Arabidopsis thaliana: one gene and its partners. The protein of the gene in region 1 interacts with the protein of each later gene in a pairwise test. Each region holds a gene or a part of one and is shown in the gene's direction. Other genes may lie near its edges.

Region 1 (6,003 bases):
TTCTTTAATACACAGAGAATTCAACACTGTTTATCAAGAAATTCTGTAGAATTTAACATGAGTCAAGAATTAAGCAACAAGAGTTTCTTTGATATAGTCCTTCAAAAAAACACAGATCAAACATTTCAACGACAAAGTAATGGATGATGCTATACAAATGAACACAAAAATTGCAAATCAAGTATATCAAATTTGAGTGTCTTTCTATTTGAAAATACACATATCAATACATATGAACATAAAAACTCATACATTTGAAATCCCCATATACATAAACGAAACGAAAAGGCACGGATCGAGAGGCACAGTCGAAGCAATAAAGGAGATTAGAGTACCTGAATCAAAGCTGTGAAGACCGCGAAACAAACATAAAGGTCGATGATCTACAAAAACAGAGTTCAAACAAGAACATTCAGCGGATTTTTCAATTTCAATGATGATTCATAAAAGATCAGAACAAAATGATAATGGTGGACCTTGAGATTCGTTGGTGTAGCGGTATAAGCAGAGTGAAGAGAATGGAAGAGATCCTGAGCATCCTTACTAGTCGATTTCACCATTTCTTCAAAGACTGACCAACACAGGCACAGCAAGCAAACTTTTCTCCTGCTTCTTCTTTTTCTCTTCTTCACGAGTCTGGTGCTCTCGCTGAAATGACGTTGTTTCAGGATTTGCTGATTAAAACGGGCTGTCATTGTTTGGGGCCTTTGGGCCCAAGCCTTTTTAAGTCTGAACTTCGAAACGTCGCCGTTTTGTTATGAGATATTTTCTAAATTATGTTTTCCACAGTTTGTAAATGGACTACCACTCGAGCTTGTTCGAAAAATCTTTAGACGTTACTCGAGGGCTCAATATGAATTTGGCGATTAATTTAAAAATCGGAAATAAATATTTAGGGTTATTATAATGTTTTTAAAACATTTTAATCTAATATTGTTTTGAAAATGGTAGTAAACATAAAAATATATTTTTAAGACAACATTTTATGTTTTTAGTTAAAATTTTGTACATAAGTTGCTATAATTTATCATACTCTTAATGTACATGTTTGAATAAAAAAGAAGTTGTTTTATATTTAAAATCTTAAATAATCAAGATATACAAAATTAGGTACGAAATAATCGGATTAGATGGAAGGTAATTAGATAACTGATTTCTTCAAGAGATTAATCATTCAATAAGGCAGGCAGAGTGGATGTAACAATTAAAAACGGAATAATCGGAGATACACTGAAATTTTTAGAATAAACACAACTTTAACAAATTCAAAGAGAACGTTTGTAATTTCCTTGTACAGCGTAAGGAAAGTTTAGATAAAAGATGTATATAATATAATAATTGAATGCATACGTAAGAGATGAGTTTATTTTCAAATTTAACGTAACCGAACAAAATAAGTTTTCTTCTAAATTCCGTAACATATGTCCTAACCACTCAAACTAAAACAAAAATTAAATTTTTTTCTGGTCTGAAGTATTAAAACCACAATCTTGACAAAATTGAAAATTTATTTTTTATGATAACAATTTTATAAATTTATATTATTGGAGCGATATCTGACAAAACTAGTTTAAAACTGAAAAAATGTCTATGTAACTATAATAGAGTAGTTTACAACACATTTATTTACTTGTTTATACTTGATAGTGAAATTGGCCGTGTTTGACCGGGTCAGAATTGATAGGTGACGGTCCAGTTAGAATTGGGCTTTGACGTAAAAAAAAAAAATGTGTAACTTTGTTCTTTGCCTAAACGATTGGCTTTGTGTCCAAGAGTAGACCGCCGACTTAGATTTTTTCGCCGACGAGAGAATATATATAAATGGCTCGTCTTTTTCCAAACGATTTCTTCTTCTTCGTCGTCGCCGGTTTAGGGTTTCCGTTGCTGTAGCAATTTTCTCTCGCTTCTCTCTCCCCTTTTACAGTTTCTCTTATATTGCTCTTGCCTTGCGTCCAATCTCAAGAGTTCATAAGGTTAGTTTAAATTTGTCTTTATTGATATAATCTATGATTCTGTGAATTGGTGTGTTACATTTAGTCGAAATTGTTGTGAATTGTGTTGTTCTTGAGATGTTTTGGTGTCAATTGATGGTTTATTTGCATAATTTTATTAGGGGTTTCGCTGAAAAGCTGAAAAAGATTGCTATTACATAATTTGTTAAGAGTGAAAATGTCTCGTCTAAGCTTCTGTTGTTATGATTCATGTATTCACCTAAACAGAAGAGAGCTTGTCTCGACAGCTTTGATAGCCTGTTGTTATTTGTTGGTCTGTTTCTGTCTTTGAAGGTTAAATTTTTTGGCTTGTCTTACAGAGTTGACATTTGTGAACATCGAAGAAATACGGTGACGTTTCTTCTCTGATTACTTTTTGCCAACATGAATACTAATGTATTTATCAACAAGTGCTACAGCCTGGTAAGTCTCAAGCTTTCCGATGAGTTTACCGTTCTATCTAGTCCGGATTTGTATCTGCAGTTTTGCTTCTTTGTTCTGTCATGTTTGTTATAAGATCTTGCCTTCTGAGTAGCTGAACCTCTTTTTTCATCCTTGTGTAGGTTAGTTGTCACTTCTTTCCTTTCTTGTAATCTTTCTTATATTGTTTTTCCTATGATTTGTAAAGGGATTTTACTGGTATCGATTCGACAGTGTTGTTTCAATTGAAACATGATGCTTTGTAGGAAAACTCATGAATAACTGTTCATATAGTTGCTTTCTGTTGGTGTTTATAGCAGTGTCTTTTTGTTAAGTAGGTTATTGCATGATGAGAGTCTTTTCATTTTTATTTTATATACAGTCACTGCACTTTTTTCATATCTGATGCACACCTTTCTTCTTGCAGTTTTTTTCGAAGCTGTTGGTGAGTTCCCATCCTTAGTACTGCTAGACAGTTCGGTGTGTTAGTTGACTTTATATTCAAGGTTATAGGTTTAGTGTTGTTAGTAGAGAAAAATGGAAGCCAAAATCGTCAAGGTATCGGATAGTAGTTATAAAGATGGTCTTGGGAAGAAGAGAAAGCATCCAGGGAACTATACTCCTTATGATTCTGGAAGGTCATATGCAAAGCTGCAATGGGTGCTTTCACCCAACAGTTCCACCCAGAAGCTTGAGAAAAGGAGAAATTTGGATGGTGAAAACAAAGTTATTGTTTCTGAGAATCATGTTGAGAAGTCTTTGGTCAGATACTTCTCTTATTATAAGAAGACAGGAGTGCCAAAACGTGTAATGTTCCATGAGAATGGTGAATGGATTGATTTGCCTGATCATATTCTATGCGACATCAGGAATGATCTTGAAGCAAAGAGAGCTACAATTGAGTTCAATTGGTGCGGTCGCCATTTTCTCCTGGATTTCTTGCACATGTATCGACTAGACTTGGAAACAGGTGTAAAAACCCAGCTTGCTTGGATTGATATTGCTGGCAAATGCTTTTTCCCTGAAACTTTTGACACCCTCGAAAGGGACGGCTGCCATCATATCCGTGGGGAAGATCCGGAACAACATGATCAACGTGAGATCAAGCTGCACATTGAAATTGATGTAAATAGTGGGGAGTTACCGAGGCTGAATTTGAATGTGGTCACTGACGAGTCTGGTGACAATATGGATGATTTTCAAGCTGTTCAGAGATCCTCAAATGGGCCAAATGACGAGGCATCAGAGGATAGCTGCAGCCGTGAGCTTGATGATGCTGTTGAGAAATGGGACAAAACAGAAACTGATCGGTTCTCTGGTGTCAAGCCTGCTGAGGAGGAGCTTGATAAAGATGCTGTCAAACAAATGTTTGCTTTGGGTGCTGCCACTCTAGGGCATGTAGAGTCGCTTGATGTGTATCAGTTTTCAAGCGAGATTGCAAAGGCTCGTCTATCTCTTTTCCAGAAGCAAGCTGACATCACTAAGAAACACCGAGGAGATGCAAACATTAGATATGCATGGGTTCCTGCGAAGAAGGAAGTGTTATCTGCCGTGATGATGCATGGACTTGGAGTGGGTGGAGCATTCATTAAAAAGTCTATGTATGGTGTTGGGGTTCACGCTGCAAACTGCCCTTATTTCAGGTTTTTATTCGCCCTCTATGCCAGTTCCTCTCTCATTTAGCCTGCCTTATGCTATTTTTGTTTCACTTTATAGTTCATTTGTTTTATGGTTTTATCTAAGCACATGTGAAAGATATTGTTTACAGTGCTAGATACTGTGATATTGACGATAATGGTGTGCGGCACATGGTTTTGTGCCGCGTAATAATGGGGAATATGGAGCCTCTTCGTGGTGATAACACGCAGTACTTTACTGGTGGAGAAGAGTATGATAATGGGGTTGATGATGTTGAGAGTCCAAAGCATTACCTTATCTGGAACATGAATATGAACACTCACATTTACCCAGAATTTGTAGTTAGCTTCAAGCTGTCTATCCCCAATGCTGAAGGTGATTACCATTTGTTATTTCTCCTGTAATTTCCATAAAAATCAACTGATGACGCATTGAATGGGAGACAGCATATAGATCTTACTGAAGATCAGCTATTTGGATCCTGAAATCTTCCTCTATAAGTTAGAAAAGGATCCACATCACCTTGTGACCTCTGGGGGTGGTAAACATACTTCATCATCCCAAGGGTCCAGTGAGATATCCATGGCTAATATATATGGGTATTTCGATGATCACATTTGTTTTCTGTAGTATTCGAAACGGGATGACATGTTTTGTTTGTGCAGGGAATATTCTTCCTACTACTCAGAGTAGGCACGAGAGTTCGGGACTCACCTTGGAAGGACCCAAAGGTTCTCCCTCAAATGTAAGTTGAATTGTACCTGATCAGATTCTCATTTTCAAGCAGTCATTGTTAATATTTGATATGGACACAAACGAGTAATGTTGCTTGTTTGTATGAAGCAGGAGCCAGGAAGGGTATCAAATGGAGGTTCAGGGAGCGAAAAGAATAGCTCCAGCAGTAGAAGGCCCAGATCTCCTATAATGCCTTTCCCTCTGCTGTTCAAAGCAATCTCGAGCAAAATTGCTCGTAAAGACATGGATTTGATAATTGCTGGTTACCAGGAACTCAGGGTAAATAATATAAACCATGTCTTTTACCAATAGTCAAGGTTATCATATTGTATTAACATAATCGGTGTGCTCTTGCAGGAGAAGAAGGTGTCGAGAAAGGAATTTTATAAGACGCTGAGTATGATTGTAGGAGATGATGATCTGCTGATATCTACAATAACAGGCCTTCAAAGGAGTTTGGGTTAGATTAATGTGTCGACTTCTCTTTGCTGTCGTGAAACCTTAATAGTTTGGATTACGACAAACGTGACTTGATCTTTAGAAACTTAGTAGTAGTACTGTTATATTTACTCTTTTGGTGAAACTAGTCTCCATTATCCTGTTTTTCTTTACTTGGAATCAAAGAGTCTTTTATTGATCAACAGCCTTGGTTCTTTGTGAGGTTTAATTCATCAGCTGGAAGTTATTCAACAGCCTTAGTTTTAAAAAGCGCGCTAATGGCGTGCCATGGCGCATAGCGCACCGATGCTCTAAGAATAGGGCAACAAGACGTGGAGGCGAGGCGACATCTATAATGCGCACGCCATACGTGAGCCTTGGCCGATGCACAAGGTGGCAAAGCGATCGCCTCTTGTGTTCAGGCGAAAACTCTTCGAAACCAACAACAGAATTCTGTGATTTTAGGGTTTGCACGAAGAAATGACTAGGAGGAATAGGATAAACCATTTTCTAAACCTAGCTGGTTAATACATGATTCAATTTAGCTGGTCAATACCTAATCCACGACTAGAAAGTTTAACCATGAGTTATAATTAGCTTATCAAACCAAATCAATCCTAGGTTTATCTTAAACTAAAACGGATTTGACCCTTACCTCTTAACCCACGACATTTTAACCAGTTAGAAGATGTAAAATCCCTAATTTTTCTAAATAGAACACCATAGACGATATAAGCTTGAAGGCTAAAACCATATGCAGAGAATCTGTTAATAGAACACC
Region 2 (6,240 bases), on another chromosome or scaffold:
GAGTGAATATCTCAGCGATGCTCTGAAGAAGAACAAGGAGCAGAGAGGACTCATCTCTTGCCTTAGCCAAGACTGTGTCGCCTCTGTTGGACCCGATACGATCGAGCAACTCACAGAGCCAGTGAAGGAGATGTACGAGAATTATATTCTCGAATCCTTCATGGAGTGCCACAAGGCAACGATCAAATGGTGTCCTGCTTCGGGTTGTGAATACGCCGTCGAGCTTCAGGAGGATGGTAATGAAGATAATGTCATCAGTGTGGTCTGTTTGTGCGGCCATACCTTCTGTTGGACATGCGGGCTCGAGTCACACCGTCCGGTGTCTTGCAAAAAGGCATCAATTTGGTGGACGTACCTGTTGGATCAGTCAAGAAGCATTTCTTGGATCCATACAAACACCAAAAGTTGTCCCAAGTGCAAGATTCCTGTGCAGCAGAATGGTGATCCTAATTACAGACTCATTAATTGTATCTGCAGGTTTGTTTCTTTCTGAGCTTTAAAACATGTGCAAAATATTATATCTTTAAACTCATTACTATGTTTTCTTGACTGTTATGCATCATCAGTAATAACTTCTGTTGGATCTGCTTGCGCACGGAGGAACAGCATCAGGGGAACTGGAATTGTTCTCCAGTCGCTGTTCCAGCTGCGGGTCCTTCTACCGTTGAATTCTCACAGATTCTCCACCTGAATCTGTGGGAGGCAGGTCATGAAGCATTGAAGAAGGCTAAGTCCAAGCTGAGAGCCTTAGAGGAAAAAATCATTCCGAAACTGATCGAGAACTGCGGAGCGACCGAGCTGGACATTAGGACAGTAAGAGAAGCAGGGATGCTTAGTGTTCAGTGCAGGCAGGTACTGAAATGGAGTTGCGTATTTGATTACTCTATAATCGAGTACGAAAGCACGAAGAAGCAGTACCTGAAACACCTCCGAGCTCTGGCGAGCACAATGCTTTGTATGCACGAAGGGAAGCTTGATGAGTTGATACATCTAGCCCTCTCACCTGAAGATTTCACTAACTATAAGCACAAGTTGGAAATCAGTACAACATGCACTGGTAACCACTTCGATGGATTCATCAAGGAACTGGAAGATGGTAAGCCTGAAGTGAAGGCTGATGGTTACGAGAATGAACCAGGCAGTCGCTGGTTCTGTGATAGGTGCACGTTTGAGAACAGCTGGGTTGATAAACAGTGCAAGATGTGCTTTTTCCCCCTGGACTATCATCCTTCTCCTCAAGTGGCAGCAGCTCCTGAAGACCTTGGAAAATCGGAGTGAGAGTGAGTGATGAGTAAAGGATAAGTCTCATCAGTGATTGATGCTGGTTTCGTTTGGTGTTTTAGCTTCTCTTGTGTTGTTTTGTGTTTAAGAGTCTCCTTTGTTTCTCTTTCTCCTCTCTGTGTTGGATCATCATCCATCATATTGGTTTAAGAGTCTTGTTGCATTTGTCTTCTAAGTCTTTGTTGTTGTTGTTGTTGTTGTTGTTGTTGTTGTTGTTGTTTGTTGGTGTTTATGTTTGTGTTTCCTTGTTATAATATTTTTTGTAACATGAAAATGCAAATACAAAACTTCAGAGGAACAATAAAGTTTAAATCATGGTTTCGAATATAATGTCTATTGAAGAACAAAAGGTGAATTTCAACCATACATCAAATATATAAAATAAGAAAAAATCCGGTGGCTGAGAATATTTAACGGTAATGTAACACTCTGCAACAGTATCTTCTTCCTCTACACTGACACATTTCGTCGAACACCTTTCGCTAATGTCAGTGAGCAAGTTTCCACATCTCTCTCATGGCGTTCACACTATCAATTTCCTCAATGAACCAGTGTTTTTAAGTGTGTTGCTCCCATCTCCCTCTCGGATTCGAGTATTCTCGTCCATTTCCACCTCCGGGATCGGCGGCGGGGTCGCCAAGTGCCATGGAACGAGACATAGCGGCGCCGGTGGTAGAGGTGATAACGGGTTGAGGAGAGATAGTGGATTAGGTTTCGACGAGAGAGGAGAGAGAAAAGTGCGTTGTGAGGTTGATGTGATCTCGTGGAGAGAACGGAGGATAAGAGGCGAAATCTGGGTCGATTCTGATTCTCAATCTGTTTGGAATGTTCTTACTGATTATGAACGACTTGCTGATTTCATACCCAATCTCGTTTGGAGGTACTTCCCTCAGTAATACCCACTTTTTTCTTTCAGATTCTTATCATTTTGTTTGTGTTTATCTACAGAATTCTTCTGAATAATCTCTAAAGATTCAATTTTTATGTTATCTGGTTCATGCCATTGAAATTGTTTATACTGAATACAATGACTATACGTCTCCAAGAGAATGCTGAATCTCCATGCTTAGTTACCTCTCTTTGTTGATGGTATATTGTTTCAACTTGTAGTGGAAGAATTCCTTGTCCACATCCAGGACGTATATGGCTGGAGCAACGAGGCCTTCAAAGAGCCTTGTATTGGCATATTGAGGCTCGTGTTGTCCTTGATCTCCATGAGTGTCTAGATTCTGTGAGCACTCTTAAGCCTTTACTTTTCTCTTGCTGAATGATTGGGATTGAGTCTAAAACCTGCAAACTCTTCCGGATTCTGTGGTCTCTTTTTTTATGCATATCTTAGCTTTTGTTAAGAATCAAGAGGTTTCCTTTACACTGGATGATCTGTAATCATGGTTGATAAGGAGTTGCCTGCTTCCCACTTTCTCTAGATCCTTATTCCTAACCTCTTATTAGTTCTAGAAAAAACAATCATAGTGAGGTTTACTCTTGAAAATATCCATGGTTCTAATGAGTTCTCTTTCAGCCTGCTTTGCACTCATTGCATTGGTTACTTAGGGTACAACAAGATGTTATTTGTAACAAGTAGTTTTGTTGTTTGGTTAATTAGTTAATCTTTACTCTTGAGTTCTTATATTACATTTGTTTCTCAATCCATACATCTCTATTAATGTAGTTTTTCCTATTATCTTATTAGCCAAATGGTCGTGAGCTTCACTTCTCTATGGTAGATGGTGATTTCAAAAAGTTTGAGGGAAAGTGGTCTGTGAAATCTGGTATCAGGTACACTCATTAATCCCCGTAAGAAGTTTGTGTGCTCATCCTATCATCATTTAAATTAAATCCTCTATAAATGTGTATCAGAGAAATTCTTTCTGTAAACAGTCTGTTATGCATTTCTAACCACGGATCATTTTGGAACCATCTATGTTCCAAACATTTGTTTTTCTCTTTCTCCAGGTCCGTAGGAACTGTCTTGTCATACGAAGTAAACGTAATCCCAAGATTTAACTTCCCTGCCATTTTCTTAGAGAGGATAATCAGATCAGATCTTCCTGTAAATCTCCGGGCCGTAGCTCGCCAAGCTGAGAAAATTTATAAAGATTGCGGAAAGCCGTCAATAATAGAAGATTTGTTGGGTATAATATCTTCACAGCCAGCCCCTTCTAATGGTATTGAGTTCGATAGTCTTGCTACGGAGAGATCTGTTGCCTCCAGTGTTGGATCATTAGCTCATTCAAATGAATTGAACAACAATTGGGGAGTGTATGGAAAAGCCTGCAAGCTTGATAAACCTTGCACCGTGGATGAAGTTCATCTTCGTAGATTTGATGGTCTATTGGTAAGTAGTTTGGCTCAAAACTTACTCTATATACTATGAAAAAAAAAAGTTTTCCCATCTTTTGTGTTTATGAGTCAGTGGTTTTTTTCTTGGATGAAGGAAAATGGAGGTGTTCACCGATGCGCCGTTGCTAGTATAACAGTTAAAGCTCCTGTTTGTGAAGTTTGGAAAGTTCTAACGTCTTATGAGAGTCTTCCAGAGTAAGTACCGAACACATATATTTATCATATCCGGGCTTCACTGTTCTGACCTTAAGGAGGATTTTCTTGTCAATCTTCTTCAAATATTTGTTGTGTTGGCTTATATATATCTCTTGTTCTTCTGCGTTTATTGTTCATGAACCTATCAGGATAGTTCCAAATTTGGCAATCAGCAAGATTTTGTCACGCGATAACAATAAAGTCCGAATACTTCAGGTATGAGCATTCTCATCCACGGTTACCTTGTAATCAAATTTGGCAAGGACTAGAAGGAATCATTCTACAAGTACTTGTATTGGGTACTAACACTGGAAAAATCTGAAGAGAGAATTTGGTTGCCAAAATATGACTCATAATTTGCTCTTTCATGATTCAGAAAGGCTCTGTATTTAGTCTGGTCTTGAAGATCAAAATTCTGATACTGGCCAAAGCCAATGTTTCTTTTCTTGATTTCAAGAAATTATATAACTAAAACTGAATTCTGTTTTCAGGAAGGATGCAAAGGCCTGCTTTACATGGTGCTTCATGCAAGAGCTGTTCTCGATTTGCATGAGATTCGTGAGCAGGAAATCAGATTTGAACAGGTTGAAGGAGACTTTGACTCGCTAGAGGGGAAATGGATTTTTGAACAACTAGGAAGTCACCACACACTTCTCAAGTATACCGTGGAGTCCAAAATGAGAAAAGATTCATTTCTTTCTGAAGCAATCATGGAAGAGGTTTGGCTTACAATTGACTGAGTTCAGTGCAATCTTTTTTTTTTCTTATTGGAACCACAATGTTTTCTCTGAATCTTTTCAGGTTATATATGAAGATCTTCCGTCAAATTTATGCGCTATCCGGGATTACATTGAGAAAAGAGGAGAGAAATCTTCAGAGTCATGTAAACTGGAGACATGTCAAGTTTCAGAGGAAACATGTTCTTCATCTCGTGCCAAATCAGTTGAGACAGTTTACAATAATGATGATGGTTCAGACCAAACTAAGCAGAGACGGAGGATTCCTGGTCTACAAAGAGACATTGAAGTCTTGAAATCAGAAATTCTCAAGTTCATATCAGAACATGGACAAGAAGGATTCATGCCCATGAGGAAGCAGCTTCGGTTACATGGAAGAGTTGACATTGAAAAAGCCATTACAAGAATGGGTGGATTTAGGAGAATAGCTTTGATGATGAATCTTTCACTTGCTTATAAACACCGAAAACCGAAAGGATATTGGGACAATCTCGAAAACTTGCAAGAGGAGGTAAAGTTTCTAGACATGTTCAAAAATTAAAACCACTGTTGCCATGGTGTTTACAAGAGCTTCTCCCTCTGCATGTGGTTGCAGATAGGAAGATTTCAACAGAGTTGGGGAATGGATCCATCATTTATGCCGAGCAGAAAATCTTTCGAACGAGCAGGTACAAACAGTAAACTCAATTTAAGCTCTGTGTGTTCTTCTCAATCGGATTGGTCTGAGAAACATTTGGTCTGTTGTTTCAGGTCGTTATGACATTGCTCGGGCGCTCGAGAAATGGGGAGGATTACACGAAGTATCTCGTCTTTTAGCATTGAACGTGAGACATCCAAACAGGCAGCTAAATTCTCGTAAAGACAACGGTAACACGATACTGAGAACTGAATCTACTGAGGCCGATTTAAATTCAACGGTTAATAAGAATAATAAACCTTACGTCTCTCAAGATACCGAGAAATGGTTGTACAATCTTAAAGATCTTGATATCAATTGGGTTCAATATTGAAGCATTAATTATGTACATTTCACTATTTGTGTAGTCTTGTAACTCGCAAAGATAAACATGTATTTATGTAAATTGTAACATTGGATTGAAATTATCTGATCTCTTTTTAATGTTTCATCTGTTTTTAGTGTTTATATTTCACTTTGATAAAATAGAGTGAGAGAGCACCGAACAATAAGGAGGATAATAGCAAGGAACAAAGAAGTAAAGGTAAGTCAATGAAATTTGATAGTGATGGTTTTAAGAAAAAACGAAAGTCCCATCATTGTCTTCCTTCAATGTGAAATGAAGTTACACGTAATTAGAAACAAACTTCTTTCTAGGTTTTAGATTATTACAGAACCAAGTCTCAGAGGTCTTGACTCGTGACTGAAGAGAAAGGGTCAAGATATTTGGATGTGAATTGTGATGTGAAAAAGGAAAAAAAATCGAGATTTTAAAAGGGAAAATCAATAGAAAATATAAAATGCATGCATAAATCTAGAAATGATAGGTGTTTAACATTGAAGGCAAACTATGAGACAATCTTGAATCTTACTACTTTATACAATAGCTCTATATGTTATGACTTATAATAATTGGGACCTTCCTCGAGATTTAGACAGACCCTCTAACAGCTGAGAAACATGCATGTAAACAACATTTTTCTTTTTGATATAGATTAATCAGGAGAA
Region 3 (4,416 bases), on another chromosome or scaffold:
CAGTTTTCTTTAGAGCCGCTACATGATCTACGAGGTTGCGGAAGCGATTTTGGTTCCTGCTAAGGCAGCTTGTAAGGTTATTAACAGCCTGGTCACAGGATATTGCCACAGAGAAGCAGGCTCCCATCTCTCATAGATTCTCAAATTCCTACCAGAGAGATTAATATACAAATTCCTTTCCTAATGTTTTAGTTTATTAACTGAGGTGTGTGCACGATCATTCGGGTTGACCACCAATCTTGGCATCCAGTCATCTACGACTCGATCAAATATTTATGTTATTTTAAAAATGAACTGTAACCAAGATAACATTTTTTTCATAAGGTCAACGACCCTTGGGATGTTAACAGAGCCAAGTTTAGTGAGCACTATGTGCTCGTTTTTTCTTAACACAATTCTAACGTGGTTTGGCCAAGCCAAGTCAACATTTTACTTACATCTCGTTTTCCAATAATGGTTTTGTAATCGATAACCTAAATCATTGTAATGAATGCGTTCCTCCCTATCGATCCTAGGCCTTAGACAATGCTGAATGATTCATAGCCACGCGAATAACCTATTCATACTAATATGGAAAGAAAGAAGCCAAACTTACAGAGCTCTTCTCACGGTCGTCGAAGAAAAGAGAGTCTACAGTCAGCAACAAAATTAGTGTTGCCATCATGGCATCATCTTGCAGCTTTTTCCGCACAAATAATTTATCATCCAAATGTTGTTCACTAAACCAAAAACAAACAAGCATTACAGCGAAGAAACCAACTCGTAGATACAGATTTCCAAATTCATGCCTTATTTAGACCAATAAAAACTGAAATTTCTCTTCAGCGAAAAAAAAAACAAACAAACTGAAATTTCATATAGATCCAGAAGATAGAAACTTGTAGGCTCAATCGACTAGACTAGAAGATGCTCACCCGATCGTGCTTGAGATAGCGAGATAGTAGCAACACCGACGGTAGAAATAAAATGGACGACACCCATCCAATGGGCTAATTTAGATTAACGGGCTTTAAGGGTTTGATAATGGATGTTAATTAACTGAGGCACATGGGATTGTATCACGTAGGCAATGGGTTTGATAATGGATGTTAAGTAACTAAGGCCCATGAGGTTGAAGTACGTAGGCAATTGCGTGAGCTTACGTTAGCGATGCCGTTAGAGACACGTAGTGGATGAAGTGGCTTTGGTTAGCAAAGGACACATGAGGCACATGCAAAGGCTATAAATGACTGCTGCTTTGCTACAACTTGCGATTCCCAAATTTTATAAGGTAATGGACCCTATCACCTCTGCTCGAAGCTAAGCCACCCAAGTTTGAGCTTCACCATTTGACACGTCTCTAGCTAATACTTAATGCTTAAACTTTAAACTAATACTTCATGTTTAAGACATTTCTGGCTGACACATTTATGAATTCGCTCTATGTCGTACGTACACCGGAAACCTTTAATTTTACAATATTAACCGTGATCTTTTTAAAAATATCTATATAAACGATAAGTATCTCATCAAAACAAAATTGAATAATGTGCACGTTTGTAAAAACTAGAAAAACAGGCAATAAACATCATCATCCAATTACACATCTAGTAAGTGTGATGCAGTGGCAAACTGGCAATAAACCAAGAAAAATCGAGAAAGAGCAGATGAGACAGTGTTGTGTTGTCAGGGTTAATAAAAAAAAAATGAAGATATTTTAAAATTTCATAATATTTAAATAATGAAGTAGTTTTATGATCTTATCCATAAATCAATTTTAAAAAGGTTTAAACTTTACTTTTCCGTATCAACAGCGTGTTTCGAGAAGATTCGGGAGGACACTCGTCGAACGGAAAAGTCGTCTAAGCCTTTATGTTCGAATCAAAAACTGACACGTAACCTTGCTCTCAAACAGAAAAATAAAATAATGTTAGAAAAATCTAGAGAAGGCTATAAATACTCCGTAGATACTTTGTCTTCCTTAGATATTTTGATTTCTGCTAAAGCTGTCTGATAAAAAGAAGAGGAAAACTCGAAAAAGCTACACACAAGAAGAAGAAGAAAAGATACGAGCAAGAAGACTAAACACGAAAGCGATTTATCAACTCGAAGGAAGAGACTTTGATTTTCAAATTTCGTCCCCTATAGGTACGTTGATTTCTGATTTCTTACAAATTTTCAATTAATTTCTCTGATTAGGTCTCGTCAATTGGTGATTCTAGGGTTTATCTTCGTCTTTAGGTTTTCGATTATTTCCTTTTAGGTATAGCTGTGAAATTGGGAAATTTTAGGTGTTCCTAATTTGATAACAAATAAGTAAATCGATCTGATTTTGAACCAAGTTTAAGTTCTCTTGCCTTATGTTTCAGCTTGTGTTCTGATATTGAAGTGTTGTTGTATTGTAGATTGTGTTGTTTCTGGGAAGGAGATGGCAGTTTATGATCAGAGTGGAGATAGAAACAGAACACAAATTGATACATCGAGGAAAAGGAAATCTAGAAGTAGAGGTGACGGTACTACTGTGGCTGAGAGATTAAAGAGATGGAAAGAGTATAACGAGACCGTAGAAGAAGTTTCTACCAAGAAGAGGAAAGTACCTGCGAAAGGGTCGAAGAAGGGTTGTATGAAAGGTAAAGGAGGACCAGAGAATAGCCGATGTAGTTTCAGAGGAGTTAGGCAAAGGATTTGGGGTAAATGGGTTGCTGAGATCAGAGAGCCTAATCGAGGTAGCAGGCTTTGGCTTGGTACTTTCCCTACTGCTCAAGAAGCTGCTTCTGCTTATGATGAGGCTGCTAAAGCTATGTATGGTCCTTTGGCTCGTCTTAATTTCCCTCGGTCTGATGCGTCTGAGGTTACGAGTACCTCAAGTCAGTCTGAGGTGTGTACTGTTGAGACTCCTGGTTGTGTTCATGTGAAAACAGAGGATCCAGATTGTGAATCTAAACCCTTCTCCGGTGGAGTGGAGCCGATGTATTGTCTGGAGAATGGTGCGGAAGAGATGAAGAGAGGTGTTAAAGCGGATAAGCATTGGCTGAGCGAGTTTGAACATAACTATTGGAGTGATATTCTGAAAGAGAAAGAGAAACAGAAGGAGCAAGGGATTGTAGAAACCTGTCAGCAACAACAGCAGGATTCGCTATCTGTTGCAGACTATGGTTGGCCCAATGATGTGGATCAGAGTCACTTGGATTCTTCAGACATGTTTGATGTCGATGAGCTTCTACGTGACCTAAATGGCGACGATGTGTTTGCAGGCTTAAATCAGGACCGGTACCCGGGGAACAGTGTTGCCAACGGTTCATACAGGCCCGAGAGTCAACAAAGTGGTTTTGATCCGCTACAAAGCCTCAACTACGGAATACCTCCGTTTCAGCTCGAGGGAAAGGATGGTAATGGATTCTTCGACGACTTGAGTTACTTGGATCTGGAGAACTAAACAAAACAATATGAAGCTTTTTGGATTTGATATTTGCCTTAATCCCACAACGACTGTTGATTCTCTATCCGAGTTTTAGTGATATAGAGAACTACAGAACACGTTTTTTCTTGTTATAAAGGTGAACTGTATATATCGAAACAGTGATATGACAATAGAGAAGACAACTATAGTTTGTTAGTCTGCTTCTCTTAAGTTGTTCTTTAGATATGTTTTATGTTTTGTAACAACAGGAATGAATAATACACACTTGTGAAGCTTTATGGGCCTTAGTGTGTCTCACAATATTTGAAATCGTAAGAGGAAAAACTATACGATCTCCACAAAAAAACTCATCATTGGATTGAGTCTTAGGAAGTTCTCTAGGGATTAGAGGGCAGCTTTATTTAACATTAAGCAGCTCGACATCAAAGACCAGCCAAGAGTCAGGGGGAATGCTACCAGCACCTTCCGCACCATACCTGTGAGCCAGACAATTTTATCATCTCTCATTAAAAAAAGCTTAAAATAAAACATCACATTATGGAAAAATAAAAAAAGATTTGCAAAGGCTTTACCCCATTTCTGGAGGAATTGTAAGCTTTCTTTTGCCACCAACAAGCATTCCTTTAGAAATTTACAAAAAGAGATCAAAACAACACACCATTTGACCATATTTAGTGAAGAAAAACCAGTAAGAAACTAGCTAGGTTACCATTAAGGCCAACATCCAATCCCTTAATGACTTTTCCAGCATCTGTATGTGTAACAGCAAGCACATAAGTATCCAAGTACCACTCACACATTAATAAAGCTCTTACTTTCGCATCAAGTTATAATACCAACCTAGACGAAACTTATAACGTGATTTTCCAACGGTGGAATCGAAAATCTTCCCATTCCCCTGAAGCTTTCCAGTATAATGGACACTTACCTGCACTCAGAGACAATAGACTGACCTCCAACAAATATTTGCACACAAACTACAACAGTTTAGGACTAAATGCTCATACCCTTTTGCC

The links.
Region 2: the proteins of SRO1 (region 1) and AT5G08720 interact in a two-hybrid assay, tested with the Arabidopsis thaliana proteins (one study listed by BioGRID).
Region 3: the proteins of SRO1 (region 1) and DREB2A interact in a two-hybrid assay, tested with the Arabidopsis thaliana proteins (one study listed by BioGRID).

Annotation. Positions count from the first base shown.
Region 1 is NC_003071.7:14,916,144-14,922,146, reverse strand, and holds SRO1 (uncharacterized protein), read left to right. Parts: upstream 1-1,664; 5' UTR 1,665-1,973; intron 1,974-2,311; 5' UTR 2,312-2,414; exon of another isoform or gene 2,415-2,554; intron 2,555-2,838; 5' UTR 2,839-2,948; coding exon 2,949-4,054; intron 4,055-4,179; coding exon 4,180-4,424; coding exon of another isoform or gene 4,425-4,453; exon of another isoform or gene 4,454-4,714; coding exon 4,715-4,794; intron 4,795-4,895; coding exon 4,896-5,063; intron 5,064-5,141; coding exon 5,142-5,249; 3' UTR 5,250-5,457; downstream 5,458-6,003. Other genes in the region: DAD2 (Defender against death (DAD family) protein), read right to left, coding at 336-383, 477-560. UniProt on the Arabidopsis thaliana protein: Probable inactive ADP-ribosyltransferase that functions with RCD1 to regulate oxidative stress, hormonal and developmental responses. May regulate some stress-responsive genes. Seems to play a smaller developmental role than R.
Region 2 is NC_003076.8:2,840,862-2,847,101, reverse strand, and holds AT5G08720 (polyketide cyclase/dehydrase/lipid transporter), read left to right. Parts: upstream 1-1,571; 5' UTR 1,572-1,766; coding exon 1,767-2,161; intron 2,162-2,391; coding exon 2,392-2,512; intron 2,513-2,974; coding exon 2,975-3,060; intron 3,061-3,237; coding exon 3,238-3,619; intron 3,620-3,718; coding exon 3,719-3,819; intron 3,820-3,968; coding exon 3,969-4,035; intron 4,036-4,310; coding exon 4,311-4,538; intron 4,539-4,620; coding exon 4,621-5,067; intron 5,068-5,151; coding exon 5,152-5,224; intron 5,225-5,306; coding exon 5,307-5,566; 3' UTR 5,567-5,694; downstream 5,695-6,240. Other genes in the region: ARI16 (IBR domain-containing protein), read left to right, coding at 1-477, 567-1,278.
Region 3 is NC_003076.8:1,600,243-1,604,658, forward strand, and holds DREB2A (DRE-binding protein 2A), read left to right. Parts: upstream 1-1,962; 5' UTR 1,963-2,127; intron 2,128-2,384; 5' UTR 2,385-2,407; coding exon 2,408-3,415; 3' UTR 3,416-3,797; downstream 3,798-4,416. Other genes in the region: AT5G05400 (LRR and NB-ARC domains-containing disease resistance protein), read right to left, coding at 1-127; AT5G05420 (FKBP-like peptidyl-prolyl cis-trans isomerase family protein), read right to left, coding at 3,798-3,876, 3,973-4,021, 4,110-4,151, 4,241-4,328, 4,408-4,416. UniProt on the Arabidopsis thaliana protein: Transcriptional activator that binds specifically to the DNA sequence 5'-[AG]CCGAC-3'. Binding to the C-repeat/DRE element mediates high salinity- and dehydration-inducible transcription.